Linked DNA regions of Bombyx mori. The protein of the gene in region 1 purifies or fractionates together with the protein of each later gene. This does not show direct contact. Links are inferred from orthologs where the notes say so. Each region holds a gene or a part of one and is shown in the gene's direction. Other genes may lie near its edges.

What was found.
Region 2: the proteins of DNA replication licensing factor Mcm3 (region 1) and probable DNA replication complex GINS protein PSF2 purify together in Drosophila melanogaster (affinity purification with western blotting; 3 studies listed by BioGRID, with this or other methods). This does not show direct contact. The link is inferred for Bombyx mori from reciprocal best matches to the Drosophila melanogaster genes Mcm3 and Psf2.
Region 3: the proteins of DNA replication licensing factor Mcm3 (region 1) and cell division control protein 45 homolog purify together in Drosophila melanogaster (affinity purification with western blotting; 5 studies listed by BioGRID, with this or other methods). This does not show direct contact. The link is inferred for Bombyx mori from reciprocal best matches to the Drosophila melanogaster genes Mcm3 and Cdc45.

What each region holds. Positions count from the first base shown.
Region 1 is NC_085112.1:2,200,971-2,208,244, forward strand, and holds the start of DNA replication licensing factor Mcm3, read left to right. Parts: upstream 1-3,478; 5' UTR 3,479-3,800; coding exon 3,801-3,872; intron 3,873-4,211; coding exon 4,212-4,489; intron 4,490-5,043; coding exon 5,044-5,218; intron 5,219-5,878; coding exon 5,879-6,117; intron 6,118-6,670; coding exon 6,671-6,910; intron 6,911-7,274. UniProt on the Drosophila melanogaster protein: Acts as a component of the Mcm2-7 complex (Mcm complex) (Mcm complex) which is the putative replicative helicase essential for 'once per cell cycle' DNA replication initiation and elongation in eukaryotic cells.
Region 2 is NC_085116.1:1,523,014-1,530,395, forward strand, and holds probable DNA replication complex GINS protein PSF2, read left to right. Parts: upstream 1-2,945; 5' UTR 2,946-3,478; coding exon 3,479-3,723; intron 3,724-4,164; coding exon 4,165-4,337; intron 4,338-4,610; coding exon 4,611-4,906; 3' UTR 4,907-5,370; coding exon of another isoform or gene 5,371-5,448; 3' UTR 5,449-5,569; downstream 5,570-7,382. UniProt on the Drosophila melanogaster protein: The GINS complex plays an essential role in the initiation of DNA replication.
Region 3 is NC_085122.1:1,047,476-1,054,157, reverse strand, and holds part of cell division control protein 45 homolog, read left to right. Parts: intron 1-56; coding exon 57-131; intron 132-270; coding exon 271-405; intron 406-561; coding exon 562-738; intron 739-4,380; coding exon 4,381-4,538; intron 4,539-6,676; exon of another isoform or gene 6,677-6,682.

The sequences.
Region 1 (7,274 bases):
AGCGAAGGCGTTCGATAAAGTCTGGCACAACGGTTTGATATACAAACTGTATAACATGGGAGTGCCAGACAGGCTCGTGCTCATCATACGAGACTACTTGTCGAACCGTTCGTTCCGATATCGAGTCGAGGGAACGCGTTCCCGGCCCCGTCACGTCACAGCCGGAGTCCCGCAAGGCTCCGCCCTCTCCCCGTTACTATTCAGTTTGTATATCAACGATATACCCCGGTCTCCGGAGACCCATCTGGCGCTCTTCGCCGATGACACCGCCATCTACTACTCGTGTAGGAAGAAGGCGTTGCTTCATCGACGACTTCAGACCGCAGCTACCACCATGGGACAGTGGTTCCGGAAGTGGCGCATCGACATTAACCCCACGAAAAGCACAGCGGTGCTCTTCAAAAGGGGTCGCCCTCCGAACACCACGCTGAGCATCCCTCTCCCGACTAGGCGCGTCAATAACCCCGCCCCCGCCGTTCGCCCAATCACGATGTACGACCAGCCCATACCGTGGGCCCCGAAGGTCAAATATTTAGGCGTCACCCTCGACAGTAGGATGACATTCCGCCCCCACATCAAGACGGTACGCGATCGTGCCGCCTTCATCCTAGGACGTCTCTACCCGATGATATGTAGGCGAAGTAAAATGTCCCTTAGAAATAAGGTGACACTCTACAAAACTTGCATACGCCCCGTCATGACCTATGCAAGTGTAGTGTTCGCTCACGCGGCCCGCATACACTTAAAATCCTTTCAAATTATTCAATCCCGTTTTTGCAGGATAGCCGTCGGAGCCCCGTGGTTCGTCAGGAACGTCGACCTCCATGACGACCTGGACTTAGAGTCCATCAGTAAGTATCTACAGTCGGCGTCCATGCGCCACTTCGATAAAGCGGCACGACACGAGAACCCTCTCATCGTGGCCGCCGGTAACTACATTCCCGATCCTGCGGACAGAATGGAAAGCAGTCGACGTCGCCCTAAACACGTCATCTCGGATCCTCCTGATCCACTAACGGTGCTTTTAGGTACTTCAAGCACCGGTCACCGTTCTCGTCGAACCCGTCGCTTGCGACGAAGGGCTCGACGAGTAAATTAACTCTCAGACACAGCCCACTGAGTTTCTCGCCGGATCTTCTCAGTGGGTCGCGTTTCCGATCCGGTGGTAGATTCTGCGAAGCACGACTCTTGCTAGGGTTCGTGTTAGCAACATCGTCAGGTTTGAGCCCCGTGAGCTCACCTACTAAAGTTAAGGCTACGCTGAAATAGCCGCTAGGGCTATCAGCTTAGGTAGGAAAAAAAAAAAAATATTTGAAGATACAAAGAAATGCATAACTTCTTCACAACCATTAATTGCATTTGACGAGAAACGTCCCCTTTATTTAGCATGTGACGCTTCCGACAAGGGATTGGGTGCAGTATTATTCCACAAGGACTCGAACATAGAACAACCAATTGCTTTTGCTTCAAGGAAACTACGACCAGCGGAAATGAAATATTCCGTTATTGATCGTGAAGCTTTAGCAATAGTATTTGGTATAAAAAAATTTGATCAGTACTTGAGAGGAACGAAATTTAATCTAGTTACGGACCATAAGCCTCTTATACATATTATGGGTGCACACCGCAACCTTCCTAAACTAGCCAATAACCGATTGGTAAGATGGGCCCTAGTAGTGGGAAGTTATCAATATGACATTTACTACAGGAAAGGTGAAAATAACACATTAGCTGATTGCCTTTCCAGATTACCAAACCCTGAAACTGAACCCTCCGAGACAGAAGGGCTTGTACATAAAATAGATCTACGTCTTTTGAGCACTCGAATGACTGACCTTAATCTATCAGAACAGTTACTTATGAAAACAACTTCAAAGGATCATATACTCACAAAAGTTTGTCAAAATTTAAAAACCGGCTGGAGAGAATCAGATTACAATCCAGAAATGAAACCATTCTACAGAAACCGGACTGAATTATCTGTTGAGAATAAGATACTTGTGAGGCAAGGACGCATCGTTATACCTACAGCACTCCGAAAAGCCATTCTTACATACCTTCATCGAGGACATCCTGGCATTTCTGCTATGAAAGCACTTTCACGTTACTATGTTTGGTGGCCTAACCTTGACGAAGACATAGAATTATTTGTCAAGAAATGTACCAGATGCCAACAGAACCGCCCTTGTAATCCTGAACTTCCTGTATTTTCCTGGTCCATACCAGAAGAAGTATGGGAGAGAATCCATATCGACTTTGCTGGACCGTTCGAAGGATCGTATTGGTTGGTATTGTGCGACGCTCTCTCCAAATGGGTGGAAATACGACCGATGAAACACATCAACACCAGATCACTTTGTCTTACATTAGATAACATATTTTGTACATTTGGCTTACCAAAAATGATTATATCCGATAATGGACCTCAATTTACATCTTATGAATTTAAAGAATATTGCACAAAACAATCTATTTTACATGTCACATCATCTCCATATCATCCTCGGACAAATGGGCTGGCACAACGTTTAGTCAGAACATTCAAAAATAGAATGGCATCGGTAGACAACACAAATCTCGAGCGCCGACTATTAGAATTTTTGTTTACATACAGAAACACTCCGCACTCGTCCACTGGTAAATCTCCAGCTGAGATGATGTTTGGACGACAATTGAACTGCATACTTTCCAACATTCGGCCAGACAAAAGAAGATTAATGCAGTATTTACAAGTAAAAGAAAACATTCGTACCACATCACCGAGTTACCGACCAAGTGACCAAGTATATATTAAAACACGCAATGATAAAATATGGGAACCAGCGGTAATTACATCCCGAAAACATAAATATTCATATATTGTTTCAACACCAGGAGGACTAGAAAAACGAAGACACGCTGATCACATCAGGCCACGCGAGTCCTCCACCTCAGAAACCCCGAGGAATGAAAGGGCGCATTCTTCTATGCTGCCGGCGACTGCTTCTCCAGACATTGGAATGGAAACAACAATTAACGAAAGGCTAACTAAAAACAAGAATTCAGCAGCAGTACCATTACCTACACCGCAGTCACCTACAAATGTACAAATTTCTCCAAATTCACCTTCACAGCATTCGAAGTTATACTCCTCACCTGCTCCGGTCTCCACTCCTGTGCCATTTGCTGCGCGTCGAAGTAATCGACGTATACAGGCACCCCGCCGTCTGATCAACGAGATGTAGATGGGGAGGAATGTTGTAACCTTCTTTTCCATATTCCATTATTTGAAATATACTTCGAACACATTGTCATTTTTACCATCTATCATTATTATATTTTTATGCTATGTCTTGAAAACATTGTTTTATTATATCGACTTTTATACCTTTTCGATACTTGGAATTTTATATCGATCGATATATATTGAAGTATTAAATAAAGCTCAAAAATAACTATAATTTAAAAAATTTATATCGATATATCGATGTATCGATATTTTTTCAACAAGCCTAGTTCGCATTGGCTATTTGCGAGAAATCGCGCCAACTGCTGAAATTTTTTAGATTTAACTTTTTGTGATAGTTATAATTTAGATAAGATTTTATTTGTGTAATTGTTAAAGTTTTCTATTAAAGTTTGAAATAAACCATAATATTCTAACGCTATTCATAGCAGTGATCGTGAGAAATATTGGACTCTACAACTCTCATCTCAATCAAAATAAATTCAACAATACGCAACGACTTTTTGATTTTGGTTAACTTTAAGTGTTAAAACAACTGAAACAAAATATAACAATTTTTAAAGCTAAGTTCAATATGGAGGAAGGTGATTTCGATCAACGTTTGAGAGACTTACAAAGGGAGTACCTCGAATTTCTTGACGATGGTGTGAGTTAATTATTTTTTGATATTAGGTATTGAAGTAAATGAAAGCTTTAAATTTTTTTCTGGTTACAATAAGTTTTAATATCTGAAATAAAATAATGAAGTATTTCAACCTCCTGTCCCATTAAAAATGGAGGCACTCATCTTTATAGATATGATTTTAAATAATCATAAGTGAAGTGCTTTGAAATTATAGAAGAAACTGATTTATTCTATTTTTTTCCGTTTCTTGTTTTATATTTTTTGTGGATTTCAATATTGCTAAGTTATCATAATCAATTTACGACACGTTGACAGCTTCTCTGTAATTTGTTAATATATAAATTAATTTTAAATGTCCAGGAAGATCAAGAAATTTATATGGAAAAAGTGAAACAGATGATAGAAGATAAATCAAAGCGCCTCTTAGTCAGCATCAATGACTTAAGGCGTAAAAGTCCTGAACGTGCCAAGAATTTACTAGAGAATGCCTTTGAAGAACAGATAGCATTCCAAAAGGCTTTAAAAGAATATGTGTCTTCGATAGACCCTACATATGCTAAAATTCAAGAGGAGTTTTTTGTGGCATTCTCAGGAAGTTTTGGTAACAAACATGTTACACCCCGAAGTTTGACATCTAGGTGGGTTATTACTTATAAACATGCTTATTAAAGTTCTACTGCTGAATTATGTCATTTTAATTTTAAGATGTGCTATAATTAACGAGCTTGTAAGGTTAAAACTAAGTTTGTTTTATGATATGTGATGGGTTCACCTAAAATTTATTTTTGTTTGTTTTCTGTGTGCAAAATTAATCTGTTTGAATATATATAAAAGTACTAGATTCAATGAAAAAAATATTTCATAATTATATAGTTTTAAGATTCAGTGCATACTATACATGTGGAGATGGAACAAGAAATTTACTGCTGAATACTACTGAAAATTTACAATCTTCCATAAATATTTGAGCTGTAAGCGTTTTTTTTATGATCATATACAAAAACAGAGGTCTAAAGTAGCTGAATAAGCTCAAACGTACAAAATGAGTCTAGATTTATTTACAAAAAATTGCATAAAAGAAAGATTCAGGATAAGTTACAATGTATTGTGCTTTAGATATTAGTCAGATTAGAATTGATTGAGAATATTATTTGTTTTTCTCACACTTATCTAATTGTTGTAATATTTCCAGGTACCTCGGAAATCTAATCTGTGTGGAAGGCATAGTGACTAGAGTATCATTGGTTCGTCCTAAGGTGGTCAGAAGTGTACATTATTGTCCAGTTACCAAAAAAGTGATGGAAAGGAAATATACCGATCTAACTTCATTTGAAGCATTTCCCACCTCTGCTGTATACCCTACTAAGGTCCATAGTTTAGTCATTAATTAAAATTAGAATAGAATAACAAGAAATTGTTAGTGAAATATAAAGATCTCATTAGACTACCTTCTAAAAAAACCTTCTACTCTGTGCTGAAGTAGTAGACTACTTCAGCACAATGTGGTATTTTCTCTGTATTTTGCCAGTTGTCGTAGACAGCTACTACACATTTGTTATTTATTTTGCTACTTCGACTACTTATTTTCACGACACATTATGATCAGAATCTGTGAACTAAACTTATTTTAAATGTTTTCAAAATAGGTAAAGATAAGCATAATTTTAACTGATTCTTTTGCTATATTGGATGACATAATAAGTTACTAATTTTAAAGTTATCTTACGATTTATAGATACATTAGCACTTCTATAATTGTAGTCAAAAAAATTTAACTTTTTATATCTTAAATGGGTGGACAAACTCACAGCCCACCTGGATTTAACCTGGAGCCCATAGACATCAACAAAATATCATCACCTACCTTGAGCCATGAGCTCTAAATCTCAGTTTAATAGTAGAATAGCTGTGTGGTCCGGTCCACCTTTCAAACTGTGTCATAGTAAAAATAGACAGGTTGGTGATATTTTGCCATTTGTGTCTGAAGTTTATGAGTAACATTTATAGTGTAACTCGTATGTTCATAGGATGATGAAGGCAATCCTCTAGAAACTGAATATGGACTTTCGCGGTACAAAGATCATCAGACCCTTACCGTTCAAGAGATGCCCGAACGGGCACCAGCTGGGCAACTGCCAAGAAGTGTAGATATTATATGTGATGATGATCTAGTAGACAAATGTAAACCAGGAGACCGGGTGCAGATTGTAGGGAACTATAGATGCCTGCCCAATAAGCAGGGAAGCTTTACTGCTGGAACATTCAGGTATGAAGAGAAGTTACCTTTTGATATACATTTTTTTTATTGCCTTTGTAGGCAGACGAGCATACGGCCCACCTGATGGTGAGTGGTTACCGTCGCCCATGGACTTCAGCAATGCCAGGGGCAGAGCCAAGCCGCTACCTTCCGCTATGAAATATACATTTGAAAAGGATCATTATAAGAATTTAATTAGGTTTTGTTTCTTTTGAATTGTCATCAATATGTGTCTGGTGCTGTACATTTTAAAGGACCACTCCAGTATATAGTGCTCAAAGTCCTTTACACACAAAGGTACCGACAGTGTGGGTATTCAAGAAAGTATTTGTTCTTCTTTTAATAAAAAGGATTGCTATTGACACTGAACCATCTTGGGTAACCAGCATGTTTTCTTAAATTTATAATTCACTAAACAAAATAATAAAACAATAGTACCTTCATTTAAAACCATTATTATATACTTATTCCTGAATATTACATACTGAATTCATATTTTACATTTGTCTATTTACCCCAGTCCATAGAGGATTCAATTTAAAGTAATGTTATATTTTTTCAGAACAATCCTTATAGCTAACAATATAACACAAATCAACAAGAATATGAACATGTCAATAAACAGGGAAGATGTTAAGATCTGTAAAAGACTCGCAAAGAGAAAGAATGTTGATATGTTTGAACTTATGAGCAAATCTTTAGCTCCGTCAATCCATGGTCATGATTATATCAAGAAAGCTATTTTGTGCTTATTGCTTGGAGGCATGGAGAAGGTACTGCCAAATGGTACAAGATTGCGAGGGTGAGTATGTATTGGTGGGTTTGAATACAAAAGGATGAATTTGTTTGCTTGTGACCTATATGTTTGCATGTTTTTAAATCAGAATGAGTTGCAATTGTGATCAGCCATTGGCAGTTCAGAGAAGGTTTTAGTCATAGGACTATTAAAGTATGGTAGTTCTGTATTAATTACTTCATAAATGAGTATTAGTAGTTAGCATTTTTGTAAAGGAGAAACCTCGATTTCACTAGTTAATTCTTACTTACGGGAGAATGTTGCAAAGTATAACGAGGACTTTGTTATACTTCGAAGTGTTACTGCCATTTTGTTACTTTATCACTACTTTGTCTATTTGTTTGGACAATTAATAAAATAACAAATTCAA
Region 2 (7,382 bases), on another chromosome or scaffold:
AAGTTCTGTGCAAGCGGCAGAGGCCAAGCGTAATTACAATAATTCACTTTACACTCCACAAGGGACGTAGATATATGAAAATGTTAGTTCATTGTTCTTACCGGAGTAATTAGCAGTTTAAAAAATATCTCCTCTTTGGAACAGCACTTCCGTTTCATTTTTATCTTTGTTTTGACTATACCCCCTTCATAAATCAATGATTTTCTATGAATCGACGCGTCTTTTATAAGTCGAGTCGAAATTTTGTGATATCATAGTTAATATACATAAATTAGTAAATATACCATAATATTAGAATTGAAAGTTCATCTTATAAGAAGGGATCTCTTCCAGACGATTGGATAATAAAGACAAAAAAAGAAGTGATGTATAAATTAATTGTTGTTTGCACTTGAATGAAATATTTCTACCATAGCACCGTCAACGTACCTCAAATGACTTTTGTGTATTTTGAACTAATAGGTGTATTTAATGAATTTATTCTGGACATGTTACAAACAAAAAACATTAGTTTCGTTTAATTAAGAACTTGGAAAATACTGTTAGTTGTGACTCTAACCGCCACCTTTTGTGGAAATTTGAAACTAGTAAACGTAATGGAAGTACATACGTATTGAAAATAGATGTCGCTAGATGCATCGAATGTCACATTTGACATATTTATGGCGCGAAAAAACGCCTTAAAACAGAATGGGTTTTAAATGACTAGCTGAATTTCCGGGCGCGATCTCACGAATTTGTATGCAGATTTAAGAAGAAAGATGTTGAATGTTGTTGCTCGGAGACAATGTGTTTTTCGCTCGTGCAGACACATCTGTTATTTATTTGTCGCATTCAAGACAGGTTACTTTTATAAATCTCCAAGATGTTTTTTATCTGTGACGTTTTTATGTTTCGTGAAATCGCTGAATGCTTTTTCTTCTTGTGATTATTTCACTGTAGTATGTTTACATATTTCAAAGGTTTACCAGAAAATAAATGAAATATTAGTATTTTCTATGATAAAAGATAGACTCTACAGATTAAATATGATTCGTTCAAAATAAAATTTATTGCCATTTTCATAGTGTCGAATAGGTGCGTTACTAAAAACTCCGACGAAATAGTAGACTTAGCACTGAAATTGGGCGAATGAAATACATAGTGATCAGTTTATAGACAGAGCAATGTATGTGTTTTTTCCAAACTAAGAGACGCATAAACTTACTGTTCTCTCTGACACAAGGGGGTGAGTCCCCACCAATAATATAGAGCCATAAATATCACCCGTCTGAGACATTGTCAACCGGCTACCCTAATTTACGAGGAGTAATTAGGAGTTTGCACTCTGCCAAAACGATTTGCATCGATCGCCACTCGTAAATGACGTCAATAATTTTAAATGGTAATTTCAATGTTTTACTTTTATGCAGAGAGATGAAGAGTGAGCGAGTTTCGCGTTTTATTTCAGGATTATGCTAACGACTAAATTACATGTAAGGCTAACTTATGCAATTTGAGTTTAAATTAAGCAATTCACAAAAATAATACCCACTTATTTAATGTTCTTTATTTACGATTCCACTTAAAATTGTTCTATAACTACGATTTTTTTTAAAGTAGATTTTTTTTATTTTAGTGCCACCTAGTTCAATCATCTGAACTACGCCAGCTTTAGTGAAAACAAACCATCTATGTCAGTTATTTAAATGTAGCATAGATGACGCTTAAATAAGCAAATTTAAAGAAAACATGTAAATTAAAACTTAATTACCTACTTCCAGTATCGCCATTCATACAGCTATTTAAAACACTGGATTTATGAAACTTATTTCATAAATTCGATCTACTAAGTCGTATTATTTAAACGTTATTCCCGCCAATTTTCCTTTTTTTTAAGGGATTTTATGAACTGGTAACTAAGACTTTTAGGTCATTTTTCGTATTTTCGTATTTTAATTTATATTCATAGTTTTATGAAAAATGATAATATGGAGTGAAATGAAATGAAAATAATTAATTTGAGACATTAATCAACTGGGATGAAATATAATCTCAGTAAAATGGTGGTCACTTACCGCCAAAAAATCTGCATCACTATGTCAGTATGTCAAAGCATAGAACACTTACTATTTGAGTTTCAAAGTCAAACAATTAAGCTCTATAAACAAGAGTAAATATCAGTGGTCTCGAACCTACCGATTTTTCGGTATATCTACCGATATGGGCACTGATCTATTGAAATACCGAAATAAAATGATTTTTCTACGATTTCAGAGTATACATGGAAATTCTCCCGATTTTTCTACCGATTTGACACTTTTAGACATTATTGATCCAAAACATGTTAAAATTGGCAAGACTACTTCGATACTACTTAAAAGTAGGCTCTTTCCCAATATTGTTCAGAGCAATGATTTCCAGGAAATTGATAGAGTAGCGCATTTTAAGAAATTGTGAATAAATCAAAACATTTCCTAATGATGTAGAACTATTTTGGGAAGAAGTAACTTTATTAAAACGTGGCGATGAAACTCAAATGTTTCCTTTGTTGTCTAATTTCATCCTTAATATTTTATCACTTTCCTATTCATCCGCTAACGTTGAACGCATATTTATTCTTTTGAAAACAAAACAGCGAAATAGGCTGTCTACTGAGTCAATCACTGGTCTATTACATGCAAAACGACTCTATAATACAGCTAATTGCTATGATTTTGAAATTAATTCAACGATGACTGCAGCTATGGCCAAACAATATTGGTATAAAAAATATTTATTCTTAAATATGATTGTTATAAATTAGTATGTAAGTTTTTTTTTCAATAAATAAACGCATTTGATTGAATATTGTATATTTTTTGACTAATACCGATTTTGGGTACAAAATAGTACAAATGTACCGATTTTAGCTGGCAAGTCTACTAATCTCGCTCTATGACGTTTGAGATCAGTGATAAAGATAAGGCGACTTTTTGGCGGGAACGCGAGGAGTGAAGTTGTGTGTTTTGTTTTATTTTGTCTATTTAGTGTTTCTTGGGTTTATATGTGTAATAATGGTGGTTTATTAACTGTTTAATATCTGTGAAAGTGCAAAAATGTGGGAAAATGAAACAAAGCCGCTGGACGTCACTTCTCGGGATCCTCCAAAAGTCCAACGAAAAAATCTCAGTAAATGACCACCATTTTACTGAGATTATAGTTCATCCCATATCATCTCATCTCATTTCATTTGATTTCATCCCAGTTAATTAATGTCTCAAATTAATTATCTTCATTTCATTTCATCATTTTTCATAAAAATAAGAGTATAAATTAAAATAAGACATGACTTAAAAGTCTTAGTTACCAGGTCATAATATAAAATACCTAAAAAAATATGATAAATAAAAACATGATAAAGGTAGGTAATATTCCTAAATTTTTAACCAAAATGAATTAAATTAAATATATGTATATTATTAAATGATTATAAATTATTAAAACCATAAAAATAATAATGGAACCTTATGAAATCGAGTTTATTGGTGAGAATCGGATAATCAGTATAACACCAAACTTTACCCATGATAAAATATACTTGATATGCGGTGAATTTGGTCCGTTTCGTGCTGGTTTACCTGTGAACGTACCACTCTGGCTGGCTATCATGCTAAAGCAGAAACAAAAGTGCCATGTTATCCCTCCTGACTGGATGGACGTGGAAGTTTTGGAGAATATTAAAGAAGAGGAAAAGCGTTCCAGGTTTGTCAATATATTTAATAAATTTGGTTTTTTACAAAACACACCAGTTTCAAAACTTTGATCTTTCTAGGTGGTCCAGTTTATTCCAGATACAATTTAATATTTTGTTTATACAACTTCCATGTCTTAATTTTAAATCAAAAAGTATATTTTATTATTATGGTTTATGTTATAAATACCTTCTAGAGCCATCCATTCTAACACTGATACTAAACAATAACTATTAGTGGTCTACCTGTTAATAAATCTCAAATTGTAACATGATTAAAAAACTTGAAGTTCATTGGTCAATAAATATATCTTTGCCAGTACTCATGAAAGGGTGTGTAAATATAAAATCTATCATTAAATGGCGTTTGAGAATTATCAGCAAGATAAAGCAAGTAGTTGTAGTAGTCAAAGTTTTCACATTAAATCTTCCTAAAATTATCAAACTACCAGATTCTTCACAAAGATGCCAAATGAACACTATATGGTGGAAGCCAAACTGATACTTGGTTCAGCTGCCGAAGATGTTCCCAATGCACCAGAAATAAAGACTATTATCAAAGACATCTGGGATATAAGAATGTCTAAGTTACGAACATCAATGGATGCATTGATGAAAACTGGAGGTTTGTAATGATTCCTTTAAAATACTTTACTTTTAAGTACTTTTAACTTACATTTTAAAGATTTTTGAATTGAGAGGATTTTATATTTTATTTTATTGTAACTGATGATATTGTAAACCTGCATGGATCAGAAAGCCTATAATGATGATATGTGGTCTTCGGTAACAACTTAACACCAGAATGGTATGCTTAAATTAAGATAAGAAAAAAATATAGAATGTGACTTACTCAGTCATAAGTTAAATTCAGGACATTTATAATTGACATTTTCAGGTGGCTATGGCAGATTAGATCATTTAACAATGATGGAAATAAACTCAGTGAAACCTCTTCTACCTGCTGCTATGGACAACCTCTTAAGGATGCAAATGGTAAGAACATGTGTGACAAATTGTAATATACTCTCCTTTAGACACATCCTTCTGTATTTTCATCTCCACTTTGTCCTTTTTACGAATATCTCTGAATGTATGTACCATCCTTCGGACCATCTTATACGTGACACATTTATGCATTCTACTCTGAAGGATCCTTGGATTTCTGTTCTAGACTTCACTCTCGTGTCCTAGTAGAAGGGCAAATCACATTGTTGTGATGATGATGTGTGTTACCAAAACTAAAACTGTGAGTGTGCAGTGAGTTCAGCTAACCTAAGGTTTAGTAACTACGGTAATTTGGAGTTTGTAAACCTGGTCTTATCAATATCATTGTTAAACTTAAATTCGGTATTGAAGATTTTTTTATTTGTTTTATAGAGTAAATTACAGTAAGCTGTCTTTAGACTTTCAACTGTAGTTTTGACAAAAATAATTTGATAGGCAGTACACGCACAATGTCCATATCAGTGAATCTACACTGGATCTAGTAGATCTGAAGACACTCTTCTTCAGTCTTCTTGTTGTCATTTGGTTGTCCGTTAGATGCTTAGCAAGGTTATTTGGGTGGGCTTTAAAATTGAAGATCTGAGTGCAATTATTCTTATATGTACTTGCAGTACAGTTTTGTAACAAATAATCAACTTTTTGTTTTACAGAAAACGAAAAAGACAGCACCATCGCTCAATTTAAATAGTTCAACCTTCAGTCAATCAGGGAGCTCTCAAAATACATAGTTTTAAGTGTAGTTAAGTGTAGTTTAAGTTTAGTAAGTTCTTAATACTTTTTAATGATTTTGTAACAAAGTGGTTGGTAACAATCAAAAAGTGGTAATAACATTAAAAACACTTATTGTAACCTTGTTTTTATTCTTTTTAGATATTTAAAATTGCATGCATTTAGAGTTGATCTTATTATATTAAACATTTGATAACCTGTTGTTTTAGACCGAAACCTCAAATCTCAACAGTTTTTATTTTTCACTGCCTAATCTTCGGTAGCCTACGGGGCTGTTCAACTACGCGCGGACCATTAGGTGGGCTCATGGGCACAACCTGGAAAAATATGCTAACACCAGCCCTAACAAAAGCAGTGCTTCGCAGAATCTACCACCGGATCGGAACCGCGACCCACTTAGAAGATCCGGCGGGAAATTAAGTGGGCTGTGTCTATGGACTAGCTCGCACGTCGAACTCTTCAGTTCAGTTCGTCAACGCGTCAGTAATCGATGAATTCGACGAAGACAATGACCACTGCTTAAAGACCTAAAAGCACCGAGAGCGGATGTTGAGGACCCGACAAGATAAATTTTGGGCGACGGCGGCTGCCTTGTCCCGTCGCCTGGGTGCGATATGTAACAGGTCTACAAAAAAAATTATTTTTTTCTACTTTTTTTTCATAGATGAATTCATTATATTTTGTGCTCCAAACACGGAATCTGACATACAATTAGTTACCACACGTAGATTCCCATATAATATTTATTTAATTAACAAACAATATTATTAAAATATCAATTATCATAACGAAATGAAAACATATTTCGGTCTAAGTTTTACAGTGAAAAATCTGAAATTATAGTCACAAAATGAATATATATCGGTCAGTTATCTCATTATATGGTGAGAAGATTTATTTTGTGGTTTTTTTATTTGTCATCGTTTCTATTGGAGTTTCTCAGCGAATTGACCAACAGAAATCAGCAAGCACTGCTGCTGACCATTTCCCACTGTAGCGTTTTTCAATGTGCATTATATCCTGATGAAACCTTTCACCATATTCATCTGATACGGCTCCAAGATTTTCAGGAAAGAGATCTAAAAGAGAGTCGGAAAAATAAATCTTGAGTGACATATTGCATCCTAAAGCTTTATAAGCAAAAAGAAGCTCCCGAATGATTTGTCAGTAGTTCTCACTTTTTCTGTTCCCAAGAAAATTATGACAAACTTTCACAAAAGCCGCCCAAGCTCTTTTTTCTGCTTCGTTCAACTTCGAATTAAAATTTTCATCTTTCATTAGCTCACGTAAGTATCTGTTGATCTACAAAAATTTCTTCCTTCAATTTTGCGTCACTGATTCGAGGAATTTTGGTTTTTAGATATTGAAATTATTCATTGATATTAATTTTAGATATAGTTTTTCTTGAGTCCCAACCTTATGTGAGTGGTGGCAGAAATTTTTTCTCACTTGGCACCAAAGGTTTCTGAGACACATTTTTAAGCCCAGGATTTAAAGTTTTTATCTTGCGTGACTGTCCCACTCACAAAGAAAACGGCAAAACTTTGTGTACCCTCATTGTAATCCGGTGAGTATAGCGACGACTTTTAAATCAGCACAAATATTCCATAAGTAGTTTGAGTTCCATAAAGGTTTGAAAAAAAAAACATATCAAAAAATCTAGACGTGATGGAAAAAATCGGCCAAGGGGTATAGATTCAGAACATTTAAATCGTCATATTTATGACAAAAAATTTTAAAGGAGGATTTCATTGCATACCTGTGTAATTAGCGGTGGCCATTAAAAGAGATTTATAGTGTGGTGCCACTTTATAAAAGTTGTGTTCTGACGCTTCCAGATCGGTTTCGCTTAAAAATCCGAGGTATTGCTTACCCCTGCTATTACCTGTCCCTTTATTATTATTTTTTCGGGCCGGAGGCCGAACCTCCTACG
Region 3 (6,682 bases), on another chromosome or scaffold:
CAACCCCACTAGATTACTAGATAGTAGGTAGAAATATATATTTTGTTCTGTTACAGGTGAGACTGGTGTACCGTGATGAAGAAGAGAACATTCCTAATTTTGATGATATATTCAGAGATGATGATGATGAGGTACGAAACTGTAATATCTGATTTAAGACTATTTTGCAATGCTGCAAACTCCAAAAGTTTTTAAAAATCTAGTTTACAATAAAAATTTAATGGTATTTAAAATTTGAAGTCAGTGTGAAGATATTAAAAATAATTACAGAACGAAGAAGAAATGCCAAGTGGTCGAGAAGACCTAGAAGCTTTTGTCGAGAGACGGCGTCAACGTAGAGAATGGGAAACAAAACGAAACGATCTTATGTTTAACTACACTCAATTCTCATATTATGGTAAACCGGTGAGTAAAACGTCTGATAAACCTATTGAACTGTGTTAACAATAATTATGGACATTAATGAATAAAGTAGATCCAGTCTTGTATCAATCTCACTTGTAATATGAATTTGACAATTATTTACAGATAAGTCTTAATCTAATAATACATTTGCATTAGAGTGCTTGCATAGCAGTAGAGCTGGCCTGGCTGCTATGTCGCAGCGGAGTGGAGTACACGTGGGCCGGATGCATAGCTGTCAGTGCGTATGCTGCCACTCACACACGCTCCCCTGCACAAGCTCTGCTTGATGCACATGCGCTGCATCGACATCTCGCCGCGCAACTACCTTCACATGTGAGTATGTTACTGCACATAAATATATGGGCACACACCAATATCATGCACGAGATACAACTACTGTACATTGCCACGGGTATTACTTAAGCTGGGTAGCCTTTAGAGGTTATGCCAGCGTAAACGAGAGAGTAGGTGAGCTCACGGGGCTCTAAGCTGTGGACGTTGCTAACTCTAGCCCTAGCACTGGTCTGCTTCTATCGGTTTGGATCCATCACCGGATCGGAAGGTCTGGCGAGAAACTCAGTGGGCTGTGTAAGTGGGTTAATTTACTTTTTTTTTTTTTTTTTTTTTTTTTTTTTTCCGGGCCGTGGGCCGAACCTCCTACGAGGTCCCCGCGCCTAGGGGGCGCGCGGGGTATGTGAGACTCAACGATCTGCAGGTGTTGAGAGCAGACCGCGGGCCCAAGGAATTTAGGGCCCACCCACTAAACGACTCCCCTGCACTCTTACACCCGGCGTCCGATCTCCGTCCGGGGTCAAAACCCGGTCAGAGTAGGGGGGTTCCCGCGGTCAACACTACAACCAGACACGCGGCGCCACCCCGAGGACGCCCGACCGACGGGTCGTCGAGGCGATAGTCGACGACCAACGACGTCAGTCTCCGCGGTACGGCGGCCCTTCAGGCCGCCCGGGCGATGCCGCTGGTGTTCCGGGATACCCCGCTGGGCCAGAACCAGCCTGCCGGGTCGGAACGCGATACACCGCCGACCGGGTTGCTCTTCCACAGTGTTCGGCGACGACAGCGACGACGAAAATGCGGACCGCATCGCAGTCCGCAGCCGCCGACGCGTCGTCCCGTCCTCCTGGTGCCAGCGCGCTAGAGTGACGGTAGCGTGCGGCGCAGTCTCAGCCCCCTTAGGTCGCCCCGTGACCATCACCGGGAGGAGACTGCCTCCTCATAGGGGCCGGAGCTGGACAAACGCCCTCCTCCGACCCCCGGCTCGACGGCGGCGGCACGGCGCCGAGAGGGAGGAAGAGTTCTCCCTCTCCCGTTCCGCCGCCTCCTTCTGCGAGATGGTGGACACGCAGAAGTCGAGCATCGCCTGCCAGGACTCATCGCTGCCGAGCATCGCAGCCACGACGGTCGGAAGCGACAAGTCCGGTCCTATTTTTGCAACGAGGACGCGGCGCTGCTCCGCGAAAGCGGGGCAGCACGCGAGCGTGTGCTCCGCCGTGTCCTCGTTGCAGCCACTGCAATGGTGGCACTTCGGCGTCGGCTCCCTCCGGGCGACGAGGTGCAGGTAGCGACCGAAACAGCCGTGTCCCGTGAGCACCTGCGTCGCTCGGAAGGTGAGACGTCCTCGGTCGCGATTCACCCAGTCCGAGAGGACCGGGCGGATCGCCTCGACGGTCCGTCGCCCGTAGGCGGGGTCCGCCAGGCGGCGAGACCACGCCTCGAGCACGGCACGCCGAGATTGAAGCTTCCGCGCTCGAACTTCCGCCGCGCCGGGACGCGGCTCCCCCCTGGAGCGGAGATCACATCGCCACGCGTAATCCGCAGCAAGCGCCTCCGCTTCCAGGTCCCAGGGAGGCGTCCCGGCGAGCACGCACGCCGCCTCGAACGAGACGGTGCGGTACCCACGAACCGCCCTGACCGCAATCGCGCGCTGCGGACGTCGCAACGCTGCGACGTTGTCACGGGTCAGGGCGTGGCACCATACGGGCGCCCCGTACAGTGCCATTGACCGCACCACCCCCGTGTAGAGGCGGCGCACCACCATGTCGGGACCCCCGACGTTCGGCAACAGCCGACTCAGCGAGCCGGCGGCTGCCATCAGTCGGGGACCCAATCTTTCGAAGTGAGCACGGAAGCTCCAACGACCGTCCAGTACGAGGCCGAGGTACCGCAACCCGGTCGCCTCGATCTCGACGCGAACGCCTCCGATCACGAGGTGGGCCCCCTGAGGCGGCGCTCTCCGGGCCCCGTGGAACAACAGGGCCTGGGATTTATCGAACGCCACCTCCAGACCCAGCCTTCGGATCCTGCCGACGACGAAGGCCACCCCCGCGCAGGAAAGACGGGCAGACTCGCGCAAGTCCCTACCCCGGGCCACGACCAAGGTGTCGTCCACGTAACAAACTACGCTTAGACCCGGGAGAGGAGCGCTAAGGGCACCCCGCAGGACCCAGTCGTAGCCGATGTTCCACAAGAGAGGGCCAAGGACCGACCCCTGTGGGACACCGCGCTCGACGGGGAAGCGGAGCACCGCCCCACCGTGCTCGGTGCACATGACCGACCTGTCCTCGAGGTAGGACCCGATCAGCCGACGGAGATACGCAGGGACGCCGTGATACTCCAGCGCCCCTGCGATCACCGACCAGGGCAGGGTGTTGAACGCATTGGCGATGTCCAGGGACACCGCCAGTGCAACCCCGCCCCGGCCGACAGCCTCATCAGAGAGGGCGCGCACGCGCATCACCGCGTCGATGGTCGAGCGGCCCTCCCTGAATCCGAACTGCTCCGTTGACAGATCGGGACCCACCCCCGCCAAGTGCTGGACGATGCGGGCGGCCACCACTCGCTCGAGCAGTTTTCCCGCCTCGTCCAGCAACACGATTGGACGGTACCCCGCAGGTGAGTCTGCAGGGCGTCCCTCCTTCCTCAGCAAAACAAGTCTGCCCGTCTTCCACTGTTTCGGAAACCGTCCCGACTCGAGGCAGGCTTCAAAGAGCCGCACGAGCCGGTCCCCAAGGGCACCGAAGGCCAAATCCCAGACCCGACCATGAACACCGTCAGGGCCGGGGGCCGCGTCCTTCCTCCGCATCCTCGACACGGCCGCACGAATCTCCTCCTCCGAGATACTCGGAGGGACCACCTCAGCAGGGGCATCACCGCTCACATCACCCCGTGGCGGCGCGCCCATGGAGGGGGGCTCGAAGTCCCTCTCCATCCGCGGGAACAGCCCGGAGACAATCTCCCGCAGCTGCTGAGGCTGGAGACGCTCTGTCACCGGGAGCGCCCACGGCCGCAATTTCTTGCGGACCGTTTGGTACGGGCGCCCCCAGGGATCCTGGTCGAGCGTCTCTAGGAGCGTCTTCATGCTCTGAGACTTGGCCTCGCCGATGACCCGCCGCAGTGCCTCCTGCTTCTGACGGCAGTCGGCATGCAGGCGGGCCGCTACCTCCGCGAAGTCCGCATCGCGAAGGCGGCGACGGCGGTGGCGGGCGCTTCGGCGGCGCGCCCGCACGCACTCCTCTCGGAGGAGCGCGATCTCGGGCGTAGTGGGTTAATTTACTAGCCGAACCCTACGTTACAAGCGACGGGTTCGACGAGAACGGTGACTGGTGCTTGAGGTACCTAAAAGCACCGTTAGTGTACCGGGAGGATGCGAAATGACGTGCTTAGGACGACGTTGACGTCGCCGTGATAAACATTCGGTCTGCAGAATAGGATATGTTGACACTGGTACTTAACAGATGTAATATAGAAAAACTATTGTAACACACGATTTACTTATCTCTTTTACACTTTATTTCCAAACATTTACACAGAATATTATTTTAATAACCTAAAAGTACATATTATTATCCACAACACGCTTCGTCAGATTACAGAAATAGAGTTATCAGCAACATGCTTCGTCAAAAAACTTACACTTTTGTATGAAAATATTCTTATAAATCTATTTTTAATTCTCAGGGTGCTTCAGTAAGCATGGAAAAGGATGCGTTCCTGCCACTCTACCGGACCTGGTCTTTGGAGAATGCGTTGAAGTATTCTCCAGTTGTGGCTCCTCATCTTCGTCTTCATTCACTGGCTGGTGCTGACAGATTGAGGCAGCTATTGGCAGATATGGGGTAAGCCTGTTCTAAAGTTTATAAGGTCACAATTAAGCTGTTTCATATAAATGAGTTGTCAAATCCGATGGGTAGCACTAAAAATGATAGTAAAAGAGGAAGTGGTATATACAAAATTGGACCTTGAGTTATTGGTATATATTTGGTCGAATATGTATCCGGACATTAGTTTTCCTTATAATAGATCTATAGTTTGTAAAAACAGCACATGATTATCACAGATTTTATTGTAGATTAGCGACCCGCCCTCGCTTCGCTTCGGAAACATTAAATTTTATTATTGATAGCTGAGTCCCGCGATGCTATGTCCCCTCGTACCGCGGGTGACGCCGCGGGTCGAAGGTAGTCTAAAAAAAAGTAAAGCCTAAATTACTCCTTATATCATTAGCTACCTATCAGCGAAAGTCCCGTCAAAATCGGTCCAGCCATTCCAGAGATTAGCTGGAACCAACAGACAGATAAATATTGTAAAAAATGCTATTTTGGTGTATGTACCTTATATGTATTCATATGCATGTAGTAAAAAGCGATTATTTTTGTGCAGGACGAAATAGGGTTTTAATAGTTTTATCAAACAAATAGATTTAATAATATAGTTGATAAGTAATTACGTAACAAAAATGTATAATCTTAAATTATTTAATATGCAATATGTTAGTGTATCAGATCAGAGAATGTGAATAGACCAATAGGAACAATTCGTGGAGCGCTTTCACTACGGTAACATACAGATCAAGGGACCCTCCGAAAGTGACGCGTCGATAGCGCGTCGCGAGATGGGGTACTGAAATAAATATAAAAGGATGGCCATTTACAGGCAAAACACAGTTCCCAGTGAATCTTCGACAAAGAACCATCAGCAAGATAGAAACAGTTCTCAGAAGCTCTCCGACAAAGAAACATCAGCAAGACAGAAACAGTTACCAGCAGTTCTCCAATAGTACAGTTATCAGAAAACCACCAGTGAATTAGCTACCAGTGAACCAGACAGTTACCTGTGAAACCTCACTACAGAAGCCGAAACCCATCGAAAGAAACAGCCGTCTTCTACCAGCGCACAAACAGACAGCAGAAAATATTATTACACGACTCGGAAACAGCCATACAGACCGGGTCGTGTACATTTCATGGTCCATTCGAGCCGGATAGAGGACACATTTCATTATTCTCTCGAGCCGGGTAGAGGATACGTTTTGAAAAGGAAACTGGAACAATGCCGATAACGCGGTCAACAGGAAGAGGACGGATCGAAACTGAACAGTCGCCGCCCTCAGAAACCACAGCTACAACACAGAGCATGTGGACAGAAACAACCGCGAATACCGTCATGAGTCTGGTAGCCCCCACAACAGAATCATCGTGCGCAACAGCCAACACGGAAGCCACGACGAAACTCGCAGAGAAACCTGGGAACTCAAAAACAGAGGCCGTCAAACAGTATATAGCCAAACAGAATGACGTGCCAACAAAACAGCGCACCGGTACAGTCAAAACTGACCGGTCGCGAAACAGAAAAGAACAGAAGATAGCCAAAGCTAGAGAAGAGCTCGCCCGCCTACAGGTGGAGTTAGCAGCCGCCCGATTGGCCACGCTCGAAGCTGGATCTGATGACGAAAACAGCGAATCAGAATACAGTAAGTCAGAACTCGACGAAAGAGTGGGCACGTGGTTGGAAACCCAACCCACAAAAACGGAAAATCACGACCGACATGAGGAAACACCGGCGGGAGCCTGCGACAAACAAGACTTCTCAGTAGCCCTAGCACGAATAACTTGCGAAAATGTATTCGTAACGTTATCGAATTATATTTGTATGAGATTTGTACAGCGCCCCTATCGTACGTAAAAGGAACTAATTTTGGTAGCACGAACAAATTTCGTATCGCAATCGTATCGTCACGTAAACGATACTTGAACCTTATAAACAATGAAACGCTATAATTGCGAGCACGAACACTGTTTTGACGTACGGTAATGTAAATTTCGAAGGCTGGGTATCGACTGACTATCGAGTATTGTCGAAACTTTATTCACTTAAGATTTGTTGGTGAGAAAGGTTTCGTAACGTGTTTAAATATAATTTTCTCCATGTTTTTATTTTTTAAGTATTTTTTTATAAATAATAGTGTTTTCTTATCACTTTA